2 linked regions of the Drosophila melanogaster genome follow. The protein of the gene in region 1 binds, or shares a complex with, the protein of each later gene. Each region holds a gene or a part of one and is shown on either strand. Other genes may lie near its edges. The genes, in order: Rga and Not10.

What was found.
Region 2: Rga (region 1) and Not10 share a complex: the UniProt entries of both Drosophila melanogaster proteins name them as parts of the CCR4-NOT complex.

What each region holds. Positions count from the first base shown.
Region 1 is NT_033777.3:5,607,057-5,614,767, reverse strand, and holds Rga (regena), read left to right. Parts: upstream 1-1,655; 5' UTR 1,656-2,698; intron 2,699-4,144; 5' UTR 4,145-4,147; coding exon 4,148-4,280; intron 4,281-4,338; coding exon 4,339-4,553; intron 4,554-4,886; coding exon 4,887-5,136; exon of another isoform or gene 5,137-5,748; coding exon 5,749-6,318; exon of another isoform or gene 6,319-6,515; intron 6,516-6,586; exon of another isoform or gene 6,587-6,610; coding exon 6,611-6,815; intron 6,816-6,881; exon of another isoform or gene 6,882-6,919; coding exon 6,920-7,084; intron 7,085-7,175; coding exon 7,176-7,395; 3' UTR 7,396-7,493; downstream 7,494-7,711. Other genes in the region: Atu (another transcription unit), read right to left, coding at 1-193, 294-1,080, 1,145-1,208, 1,276-1,306. UniProt on the Drosophila melanogaster protein: Component of the CCR4-NOT complex which is one of the major cellular mRNA deadenylases and is linked to various cellular processes including bulk mRNA degradation, miRNA-mediated repression, translational repression during translational initiation and general transcription regulation.
Region 2 is NT_033777.3:12,628,900-12,633,777, reverse strand, and holds Not10 (CCR4-NOT transcription complex subunit 10), read right to left. Parts: upstream 3,132-4,878; 5' UTR 3,064-3,131; coding exon 2,975-3,063; intron 2,901-2,974; coding exon 2,145-2,900; intron 2,085-2,144; coding exon 1,757-2,084; intron 1,661-1,756; coding exon 1,602-1,660; intron 1,544-1,601; coding exon 1,193-1,543; intron 1,128-1,192; coding exon 803-1,127; 3' UTR 590-802; downstream 1-589. Other genes in the region: CG18530 (uncharacterized protein), read right to left, coding at 1-296, 357-419; Snx3 (sorting nexin 3), read right to left, coding at 4,326-4,556, 4,794-4,878. UniProt on the Drosophila melanogaster protein: Component of the CCR4-NOT complex which is one of the major cellular mRNA deadenylases and is linked to various cellular processes including bulk mRNA degradation, miRNA-mediated repression, translational repression during translational initiation and general transcription regulation.

The sequences.
Region 1 (7,711 bases):
CTTTATCCCGGGATCGCGATCTGGAGCGGGAACGCGAGTGGCTCATAGAACGACTGTGGGAGTGGGACTTGCTTTGACTGCGGCTCTTGGAGCGCACTGGGGATTTTCTGGCAGCTGGTCCAGCCTCATCCTCATCGTCACTTATATCATCGGCATCTCCAAATATGTCAGCTGCAGCCGGAGCTTTCTTTCCCTGCATAATTGAAATGTACATATATCAGGGTAATTTTTCCTTAATTATAGAACTAGATAAATAACAATATAGTTGAGTAGTTCAGAGTGGTGTGCCTTACCACATCCTGATTGGAATCGCTATCAGTGTCGATCAGCCGTGACTTCTTAGCTTTGGTGGGCGATTCCTCAATGTCGCTATCGCTGCCGCTCTTTTTCTTCTCTTGATCGGAGCCACTCGCCTTGCGTGCCTTCTTCTTGGGCACACCCACATCGCTGCCGGAGCCGGATGCGCTGCCACTACGACTTCTATTGGGCGACGGCGTGCCCGTCTTGGAACGCGATCTGGAAGTGCGACTGCCACTCCTGCTCCTACTTCTGCTGCGACTGCCGCTCTTGGAATTGGCACGCTCTACGTCAATTTGCAGATTGGGCGAATTAGACCGCGATTCCTCGTTGCCCTTGAGTGAACCGCTATGAGACCTCGATCGAGACTCAGAGCGGTCACTTTGTGCCGAACCAGATTTGCGACTCCGAGCGGATCCCGATCTGCGACTGTGGGCCGAACCGGATCTGCGGCTGTGAGTAGATCCCGATTTGCGACTTTGGGGAGAACCAGATCTACGACTCTGAGGCGATCCTGACTTGCGACTTTGCAACGAACCTGATCTGTGACTTTGTGGAGATTCCGGAGTTCCAGATTTACGGCTACGCGCAGATCCCGACCTGCGACTGTGAGCAGATCTTGATCTCTTACTACGAGCGGAGCCAGACAGCTGCGAGTGGCGGCTTTCTGCAGACCCGGACCTGGCACTACGCGGAGACCCAGAGCCGGACCGGGATCGGGAAGACCTGGAGCCCGATCGGGAACGATCGCTGCCACTACCCGACCTGCGACTGCGTTGGGATCTGGAAAACGAGGGGAAGGTAATCAGCACTCTCCCGCCGCCGTGTTTGAATATCAAATAGTTACCCGGGCGCACTACCTCCTTGCGGCGTGACACTGCGGCTTCCACTTCGACTCGAACCGGATGAACCTACATACATATGTGAACAGTGTAAATATTAGTTACTCAGGCCTGGACTTAGCCATTAGCCACTCACCACTGTCGTCGTCCGAGTTTTGGCTGCCCATAATGCCAAGTAAATTTTGTTTAAAATCGGAAAATCTGCAATCAAGACAATTCGCGGCCGGGCAATAAAGTTGAGTTTAGGAGGTCTAGGCACTGTCACAGTAATCGATAACTGAAATACGCAAAGAGGTCTTCGCATAGACGCCCCAGATGGCAGCCCAATAACTGTTTTTGTCTATCGATTAAAAGTAAACAACTATTTTACCAATCGCAAAGGCGAATAAAATTGTTGTCTTTAAAGAAAACAATTCGAATATTCTTTGAAATATACAGTAATCAATGCACCAAACCCTCTCGTTGCAAACTAACTACTATCGATACCAACGCTGTCTCGATAGCAGATTTTTACATCCCTAATTCTTGTGTGTTTGTATTCGTGACAGCCACAAAGTTTTTTGCGGAACATTTTTTGTGTACAATTTAAAGCCATTTCGGGCGCTAAAGAATTGTTTACTGCCCCTCGATAGTGGATCGTAAGGACCCGGCTCCATTAAGTTCGAGTGCATTTGCGGGTCGGCGGCGTAAAAGACGCGCAAATCTAGCAGGGAATTTGCCCAATTCGCTGCTTCGGGTGAAATTTCAATGAACTGAGAAAACAAAGACAGACACACACACAAACACACGCACAGGGTCACAGACACAGTGCTTGTGCAGCAGTGTAGTAAGAAGCAGAGACAACAGCGCAATAGCGAGCGATTATTTACTTACAAATAAAATACAAAACGGAAACATTAACAAAAAGCGAGAGCCCTGGCCAATCCAATCGGCCGAGTGTAACGTGCGCGACATTTGCATAAGCGTGAATATAGAAACTACAGTGGTCGCAAGAGCGGCGCAGAAAAAACGGACAACTTTTAGCCTCCGCCAGGCATCAACATCCTTCGACTCTCCTCTCCTCTCTCTCTCTCTCTCGCTCGCTGTCTCTTCGGCACGAAGACCACGCTGCATACAGACGAGGCACATATACATATGCACACACGCACAGCGGTATATATGCCATTTATTTAGGGACGACTCGGCGCGGAAAAGTACTAACTAACCTCGTTCCCGCTCCTACACCCGCTACGGTTCCAGCTCCCGTTTCTCCGTTGCATCCTTTCAGCTTCCAGCGAGTGAGTGCTAGTGACCGAGACACCCACAGCTAACCAACAGCTGCCCAGTGGGAGTTAGCGGACTTTCATATTCCTGCTGATTCGCCGATCCGTGATCCGTCACAGTTACGGTTACGGCGCCAGGACAACGACTCCTACGTCCTCGTCCCGCCGGCCGCTTTGGAATGTTAAATGCGGTGAGAACGATTCGATCAGTGTATGTTGTTGTTGCTGGACAGAGTGGAAAGCGAGCGTTAACAGTGGAAGAACAAGAAGCGACAGTATCGTCTAACGTTAATTTAGGTAAGTTGCGCGCATTCCTCCTTTCGGATCCGTCGTTCTTATTTTGTACTTGCTGAATCGCCCGAGGTTAAATGGTTGGTTAAACACTTGTCCCCAGAGTTAACGCTAGCCATTGAATTTTGTTGTAAGCGCGGTCGCCAGTGTTGGGAAGCGTCTGTTAGGTCAGCTGATAAAGTTACATGCGTGCAGGTAAAACATCAATTTAATCGACAGCTCCCGTATTCCAGGAAGATTTGCTCCTTTCAAATTAAATGCACTGGCATCCTGTGCTAGTATATCTTGCATTCCAGGCGAGTTCAGCGCACGTTGAAGTTTCGATAAGATAAAGCCGGTCTTTACCATAGGAAGGGTTATTTACATATTATGGTACTAGCAAGCAGCATCAAAACCTAACTGGAGCTTTCGTAGTGAAGTAAACGAAATTCGACTAACTCGGTAGTGGTTTGGCCAGTAGTGGAGATAAGGTATAAAGCTTTGTATTTTACAATGTTAACTGTTTTTACTGTACACCTTTTGCACTGCACTGACCACTGCCTGCATAATTGATCGAGGGACAAGTTGAGGCTTATATCCTTTTGCATTGCCCCGCTCTCCACCCACTCCCTTGCACCCTGGTGGCAGTCATTCTGGTTTTCTCACCCACACCATCGCCATTGTCTTGGTCTCCATCTTATCCACACGGTCTGTGCATGAGTGTGCCCACGACAAAGAGGAACGGCAATAATTGCCACAGCCTTTCTGCCCATGCTTCTCGTTCTCCACCTCCTTGCTCTGCCTCTCAATTTGCTCTCCTTTTCTCCTTCTGCTCTGTTTGCTGTCCGAATTCGCTTCGCCAATCGACAGCTGATGCGTCGGCCATTTAACGGATTCACTTGGCGCGGGCTATTTTGTTTATAGATATACTATAGATGGTGGCCCTTTTTTGGGATCCCATTTTGCCGTTAAGATAACCTTTTCATATATATGGCTCCAGGCTGCTAACCCACAAGGTTGTTGGTTTGTTTGCTCAATACGCATATACTCGCATTTAGTGTGCGACAATTATCTGCGGGGAGCCAATTTGTTATCAATATAGTCCCCCTCCACTGAATCACACAGTTTTTATTGTAAACCCTTGTTTATGGGCGAAGAGTTTCCCTGATTCAGACATTTGACAGCAGTTCTCTGATTGCTGCGCAGATGGCTTCGAGAATTTATGTTGCGAATCATCCAGCATATTCCCAATTGCTCGTATTAACCGTAATGTTATATAACGCGTAATAATCTCCAAAATAAATATATATTAGTTTGTTTTTGCCAAAAGGAAATCCCTATACTATTACATTTAAGTGATTACTGCTTAAGTGATACTTCGATGTCGACGCGGATACGATATGGGTTTTTCTTTATGGGTAGATAAGCAAAGCAAGGCCACAGCCTAATAACCGACAACCCCTTCCATTGCAGATTATGGCGAATTTAAATTTTCAACAACCCCCGAGAAGTATAGCGAACGCGGCGTTAGCTGGCCGGACAACAGGCGGATTCGGTGGTAGCTCCCTGGCTGGCCATGTGACGCCCACGTCGGGCATGTTTCAAACCGGTAAGCACTTGTCGCCCAAAGCTTTTGACGGAGCACCAATTCACATTTGTTGCCTTAGACTTCGCCAACTCCTATCCAGGAACGGCGAACTACGGACAGGCGCCGCAGCAGCAGCAACAACAGCAGCAGCAGCCCCAACTGTCGCCGAACCGGAATGCCCAGCTGTCGGTCGGCGGACCCGCCATCTCGAGCGGCAACCGCAACGCCAACCTCTTCGGCCAGCGTCAGTTTGTGGAGCGGCGAGCCATGCAAGGATTGGGCAGTGGCCCCATGGTAAGCAGCGCGGCATTACAACAAAGTCTAACTCCTCCAACTCGGTCTTGTCCAAGATACTCAAAGTAAAACATATAACAATATCTATATCCATTGACTGTGGGTTTAGTACTTCAATACTTCGGATTGCATCAGAGAATCGTATCGCTGATCGATCAGATTTATATAAAGGAAATATTTTTGATACAACGGAATATACATTAATTTCAGAAGTTACAAATGCTTTCACATTACATAAAAAATATACCCTCTATTAAGATTGAGTTGGAGATGTCAGTCCTAATTCTAAAAATAAATTGTTAAGACTTGGCTAATCATTATCTCTTTCCGCAGTCGAACATGGGCAACTTCATGCAGACGGGTCGCGGCGGCTACGGAACGGGCGGAGGCGGTGGCGGTCCTTTGAATAACTTCCACGTGTTCGGCGGCGGCGGTGGTAGCGACACCTCCACGCCTGCCCTGCTCGATCCCACGGAGTTCCCCTCGCTGACGAATGCGCGCGGCCAGAACGACCAGACACTGCCCCAATCGAATCCGCTCCAGCCGCCGGGCAGCAAACCCTATGGTAATTTCTTTACCTCTTGTGAGTTCAAATCAAAATCCACTTCTTTTTATTTATTTTTGTTTTTAAAACTACGATTAAGAATCGGTTGTAAGCGTGGTGTCTCGTGATCAGCTCATTAAGCCCACTTAGATATGCTACGCTGTATTTGGGACTAACCTCGGGTGTTGGTTTGGGTATGGCAAACGCTGCAAAAACTAGATTCAGTCAAGGACATTTACTTTGGCTACGTTGGTCCAACCGAATACGGGCTTCTGATTCCATGAAGAGCTTTTGCAATTTAGAGTTTGAAATGAAATTGTGTTTCCGGATTATACTCCAAACATATTATTATATGCAATCTCATTTACTTTGAAACATGATCAATGAATAAAAAGAAACTGTTCACATAAAGCAAGCGACTTAACCTTTTATAAGTTCATATATAGGTGAAGGATAACTTTAAATTCACAGTAACATGTCTTAAAACCTTGAACAAATGCTGTTTGGACCTACTCATTGATTTTAATTGGTTGAGGAAAAAGAAATTAACTAAAATCGTGTGTATTGTATGAGCTTAAACTGCTTTAGTACTAATTTCTTCGCTTCACTCATTCGCCCTGGGCGACCATCTCGCTCCTCTTCTGATTTCAGTTGGCATGGTGAAGCAACCGACGTCAGAGCAATCGGAGTTCACGATGTCTAACGAGGACTTCCCTGCGTTACCGGGCACCCAAAACTCGGACGGCACAACGAACGCGGTGGGGAGCGTCGCCGGAACAGGAGGCTCCGGAGGTGCGTCCACAGAGAACCACTTGGACGGCACGGAAAAGCCGATGAATTCGATAGTGGTCAGCGGATCAGCGAGCGGCAGCAGCGGTTCCAACGTCGGCGTTGTAGGCGGCAATGGTCTCGGTGCCGTTGGCAGTGGTATAGGGGGCTTGGCAGTAGGCGGCGGCGGAGGAGCTGGTAGCTCAGGAGGCGGAGGAGTCGGCGGCAATGCAGCCAGCGGCGTTGTCGGCGGGTCCCATGTAGGACTGGTGGGCAGTAACAGCGGCATTGGCGGCGTCAACAGCGTACCCAACAGCAATGCCATGATGGGCGTAGGCGGCGGCCTGGGGAGTGGAAGCGGCTCGTCTGGGAGCGGAGCGGGCGGCGAGCATCTGAACGATAATTCCAGCAACGATAAACTTGTAAAGAGCGGCGTGCAAACTTCGCCAGATGGTGAGTGCTGGAACACTTCTCACAACATGTGAGAGAGCTATTTTTGACCTTTTGATCATTTGGAGCTTTGAATTGAACACTCTATGGATGATTGATACCATTTAATCAATGGATTTCTTGGTTTCTATTATTATTTGTTTCATATTATAATTCGGTGATTTCGGTGTACATCACAAAAGCCCAACAGCTATACTATCCTTGACCCATTTTATCCAGAAATAATAGTACCATGAAATATTTTATTTATTTAAAAATGTAACAAATTTACCTTTCGTTCGTTTTGCATAAATAGGGAAGGTCACAAACATACCAGCGACCATGGTGAACAACCAGTTCGGCATGGTTGGCCTGCTGACGTTCATTCGGGCTGCAGAAACGGATCCCAATCTGGTGACGCTCTCCTTGGGTACGGATCTCACGGGTTTAGGCCTGAACCTGAACTCGCAGGAGAGCTTGCATACAACCTTCGCTGGCCCCTTCGTAGCACAGCCCTGCAGGTCAGTTTACATAATAAACTTACATAATTTAATTGCTTATTGAGTACTATTGAGTAAGAGGTGTACCAAATTAGTAACATTGGATTTGCATTTACTTTTTTCAGAGCACAAGACGTTGAGTTCAACGTGCCACCCGAATATCTGATTAACTTTGCGATAAGAGACAAACTAACAGCGCCGGTACTGAAAAAGCTGCAAGAAGACCTGCTCTTTTTCCTTTTTTACACGAACATCGGCGATATGATGCAATTGATGGCAGCTGCTGAATTGTGAGTACTTCCTCTTGCGTAGCTATTATCTAAGCTTCGTATGAACATATATAGAACATACATATATACTAAAATTCTGCTCCCATCGCAGGCATAGTCGCGAGTGGCGATACCACGTGGAGGAGAAAATATGGATAACTCGAATTCCTGGCATTGATCAATATGAAAAAAATGGTACAAAAGAGCGCGGCACCTTCTACTACTTTGATGCGCAAAGTTGGAAACGTTTGTCCAAGGTTTTCCAAATAGATCCCGAGAAATTAGATAAATGTCCCAATATAAGTGCGTTTATGAATGGACAGTCTGTATAAAATTAATAAAAATGAAAAAAATTGAAAAAGAAAGTATGCTGTTGTTTTTGCATTGCAACAAGGACACTCAACACTAACTGAATAATAAGTTTTATTATAAAAATTAAAAACAATCCATTTGAGTTTTTCTTCTAAAACGGTGTTAGGATATATATACATACATATATGCATATGTATGTATGTGCAAATTCTGGTACAAATTGCCGGTTAACAATTTAAAGCGATTTATTTTTATCCTGCTGGAGTCTAGTTGGTATTCATATTTTTAGAATATCTTTGAAATGTAACATTTTTTAGCTGTTCGATATTATGAAAT
Region 2 (4,878 bases), 7.0 Mb from region 1:
TCATCGGAGGGATCCAAAGACACGTGGCGTCGGGAATACCGAGTGCCCCGCGAGTTACTCAGCCAAACGTCAAAGCAGGCGTCGGCCAACATGAATGGCAATGCATCCCGAGGTCCATTCACTAGGAAAACATCCGAGGAGGCGGTCATTCCGTGCTGGAAGAGAACCGCCGGCTTTGTTCCAGATTGCTCGCAATAGATTGAGTTCGGTATGCGGAACGCGTTGAGTAAATACCCATCTCGTGTGACCACTGTGTGAATTTCCACCGGATAGTTGTGCGAGGCTATGATTTCGGCCTTGGAAAAGAGAGCGTAGCACTTGCCTATAGCTATAATTATCGACTAAAAAGCACTTACAGAAGTTATTCCATTGACTATTTGAGTACAGACACTCAGAATGACAAGCGTTTTATACGGCATTTCGAGTAAGAGTAACTTGCACAAGTCAAAATAATTCTGACCCAACTTTTAAAATTCCTGAGATAGATACTTAAAATTTAAGTGTCCAACGCTTTAACGTAGAGGGTAATCTAATTTGTAGAATTCCTATGAAAAAGTCTCAATGACTGGAGTATGCAAAAGTTCAACGTAAAATATTGTGAGATAATTTGCTATTGCCAACACCAATTCTCTGTGTACAAATATATAAGCACATATGGATTAGTTAACAGACATTGTTTTATACACCTTGTTTGCACCCTGTAAAATGCTGAAAAACTGATGATCGTCAAACAAATAGTTCGCTTCCTCGTCATTTCATTCTTGCACTTTAATTCCGTCTAGTTATATACACAATTTGTTGTCTAACTCGGCGTCCCGCCAGGAACGGGACCCATTTTGAGGTCCATGAAGCGTCGCAAAGCAAGCGCCTTGTTGGCAACCAGCGAATGAGTTAAATTGGCCAGGAGTGCTTTAGCTTGAGGCAGGTCGTTCTGTAGAGCCATGGCAACGGCCAGATTATACCGCACAACGTTCTGAGCGGCGTCCACCGACTTCAGTTGCCAGTCACGCGTCTCAAAATCGAAGGCGTTTAGTGTGCCCACAAAAGTAGGGTCCAAATGGTCGCGTGCCTCGCTGGCCTTGTCCATAAGCATCAACGCCTCGCCAGCGTACATGTGACCTAGCAATCTGAAGAAAAAAAGGTAAATATGTTAAACCAAACATGGGAAGATTAAATAGAAACTGTATTGTACTTGTGTGCATCGGACAAGCGTTCACAGGCCAGCAGTTTTTCCGACATCTCGAGCGCGGTCACATGATCGCCTAGGCGCAGCGAGACGAAGCTGTGAGCAGCATATATGGCAGCCATCATGTTTTCCAAAGACTCTAGGCTGACTGGCTTCGAGGGATTGCAGAAGTTATTGTCCTGGGGATGACGCCAACTCTCCTGAGTTGGGTCCTTGGGTTCGGGTGCTTCCACATCCTCCGAGGAGACCGCCGCCATGTGAAACCTCGTCTTGTAGTGCTGCGTAAGCGTTAACGCGCTACGTAGACACAAGACAGCGAATTCCAGCGTGGGCTCTGGAACTCCCGCCGATTGAGGACTAAAATTAGGAAAAGTTTACTACCAGCAATGAACTAAGCTAACGAATTAGCACTTACGCGTATGGCTTTGTTGATGGCGTTTCTGACTGCGACTGGCGCTCCTCCTCCACTAGTTTCTTTAAAACAAAATAAAATAATTTGAGATTTAAGACAAATAAATACCCTATTGTGACTCTATTGTACTAGAACATGTTAGTGTAAAGTTGTCTTACCGCCTCATGCTCCATGATGCAGGCCTCAGCCATGCGCAGCCAAAGACGTGGATTGCTGTGGAATTGCTTAACGGGAACCAGAAAGCACTGAAACGCCTCCTTGGGGCGTCGTAGGTGCAACATGGCCACACCGAGGTTGTAAAGGATCTCGCAGGACCGTGCCGAACTCATGGTTTGCAGCGTACTCTGGCGCAAATTTCGCGCCAGCTGCTGGTCAAAGTTGAGCGCATTTTGGAAGAACTTGGCGGCGATGGCATAGTGACGCACTCTTAAGTGTATCACTCCCATATTGTTGGCAATGCACGTGCTCAGCTGGGGGGTTATAGTGCTATTAAGATAGACAATAAAATAGTATGTCTTCTTTGAACTTAAAATGAAGCAGACTCACCCCGCTTGTGTACACTCGTTATTGATTCGCATAAGCTGCTTGGCGGCCATCTGAAAATCCTTCATGATGTAGTACTGCTGAGCCTTCAGAGCAGCGTACTCCGGCGTGCCGTCTTCCTGAATAACCACCGGTTTTCGGTTAAGCACGAGCGTTATTAGCTGCAAGAGCTGCAGACTACCGCCCAGACCGGGCACAGCTCCCTCCACAGCTGCTCCTCCTGGTGAGGCCACCACTGAACTGTTCGTCGCTGCTGACGGAGGTGCTGTGCCGACAACAGCTGCCTCTTCGGCCGCATTGCTGCTAGGCGCTGTGGCCACCAGGTTAAGCTTGTACTGCAAGTAATCCAGAAAGGCCTCGGCTCGGTTTAGTTGATTGGTGGCCAGCAGCAGCTGTAGCTGTAGTGTGGCCACCAGCGCTGCCATTGCCTTCTCCAGGGCTTCCAGACGAGCCACTAGTGGTGCTAGTTTCTCCAGTGCCGTGCCGAACATATGGCGGTGATAATAGATGACCGCCCGGTTGTAACGAGCAACAGTGGCGGCGGCAGCTCCCTGCTTAAGGCTCAGCCCGCTGGACACGTCTCCGGGCGCATCTGCATCGGCGGTTAGAGCCTCCAGTTCTTTCAGCAGGACGGAGTGTTGGGTGCACCCGGTTTTGTAGTAGCTGACCACCGCCCGGTTGTGCCGCAGGACAGGACCACTGCTCTCGCCGCGCGTCTCCAACTCCTGGAGCAGTTCCAAGCAGCGATCAAACTCCGAGCTAGAATGAGGAGCAGCCGGAAAGGAGTGGCGGTTATGGGTGCACTTCCCGGTGACACGCGGATGAACACTCACTTGTTGAACTGCTCGTGCGCCTGGCACAGCAGACTGTAGTTCTCGTCCTCGCCGGCCTGCGTTTTGGTGGGGGATTCCGCCGAGTCCATGCCAAAAATAAATAAAAACAAAAAAACCGAACCAATCCACAGATGACACAGCGTTGCCAGAATCAACAAGCACAGCGTTGCCACTTTTAACCGTAACTAAAGCGGTTAACCTTATTAATAAATAAGTTAATTCTTAACATTAAACAACTTGTTAAATTTCTTGTTAATTTATTAATTAAAAATTAAATTGTTAATATGAACAAATTAAAATATATTCTATATAAAATTTTAACTTTACAATGGTCAAATTGGCATTTTGCTGTCGATAGGTGGCAGCACATCACTAGTCTAGATTTGCAGCGCGCGAAACCTATACCTTTATTTCAACTGAGACTTTTGTTTGTGATGATATATAATATTTAGAATAATAAAATATCCATTTATCGTTTACAATTTTTGATCCACCTACCCACCCAACTGTAATTATCCTTGCATTCAATCGAAGTTTCCTGTTTCATCATATTGTTATTAATCCTCGCCTGGTTTATATGATGGGAACTACATAGATTCAACATCGACCAGTTGAAGAACAAACTTCCATCCCGCAGAATTGGCTAGGAAAAAGGCTAATATTTTATACAAAACTCAACTTAATCTTCAGTTGCGCATCATTTTCAAGCACATTCAAATAATATCAGCAGTTCAATATTTTTGAATTATTTTAATTTGATTCGAAGTACAATATTATTCACTAAACTGTTTCAAAATATTCAATAATTTGCATACACTTACAAGGGATCGATTTTGGGGTCAGGATGGCTCCCTTATTTTATTTGCTGCTTCATTACCGCTGCAATGGTTCAAAACGAAGAAACTGAGGATCGGGAAAATGGGAGGGGCAGCTCCTACTTTCGAGACTCATTTAGCGAGGGCGTAGTAGGCATGTCTTATGTACACTATTCGTAAATATGTGTATTGTGTATAATATATATATATGTGTATGTATATTGTTATGTATACCATATAAACTTGAATTTAGCATTAAAAATTCCCAATGCTGGTTTTTAACTAATCCCCGGGGGCTGAGAGGGGCTCAACATTAACTGAGCAGCAGCACTTCCCGCCTCGTATCGCGTCGCATAACAGATCCCTTCTCCACCAACCTACATCATCGCTCATCTGCTCCATCCTCCTCCAATCCGGGCAAGCACACACATTCACACGGCTTCCCATAAAGATTTCGTAGCAGGTTTGTTCGTTCGAGTTTTTGCTTCATTGCATTGCTATGGTTAGGGGGTTTCGATTGCGCCGGACTAAGCTGCTTATGTGTTCCGAATCTTGCCGGGCACGTAGTTCTTATCTATGACATTCTCCTGCAGGAACATATGCAGGCAGCGCTCGTTCTGCGCCAGCGGATGTCCGGCTATCTTGTTGATGAAGGCCTCCAGTCCCTTGCGCCGCTCCTCGATGAAGCTTTCGTCAAAGATGCCCTCGTCGCCGCGGAAGGGCATCTGCCGCTTCCATGCCTTTCCTGGGAGTGGTGGCACCACAATCTGCGGGGATATGTATGTTCATGATTAAATACTCTTCAGGCGCTTATCGAAGTTTCCGTTTTCACTTATAAAACTCAGGGTTAAGTTTCCTCTTAAGGATTGAAACTTTTCTAGTGGCTTCTTATAATTACAATGTATTGTTTCGTAATTCTATCTAAATAGATTCTGAATAGTGCGGATTTTGAATCTATTAAAGTGAAAACGAAAGACTACCGCCTGGATCACACTTGTCCGTACCTTGCTATCCCGCTCCAGCTCGTTTCGCAGCCACTCAAAGTCGCTGTAGCGTCGCCTGACACTGGACTCCTTTACCTTAAAGACG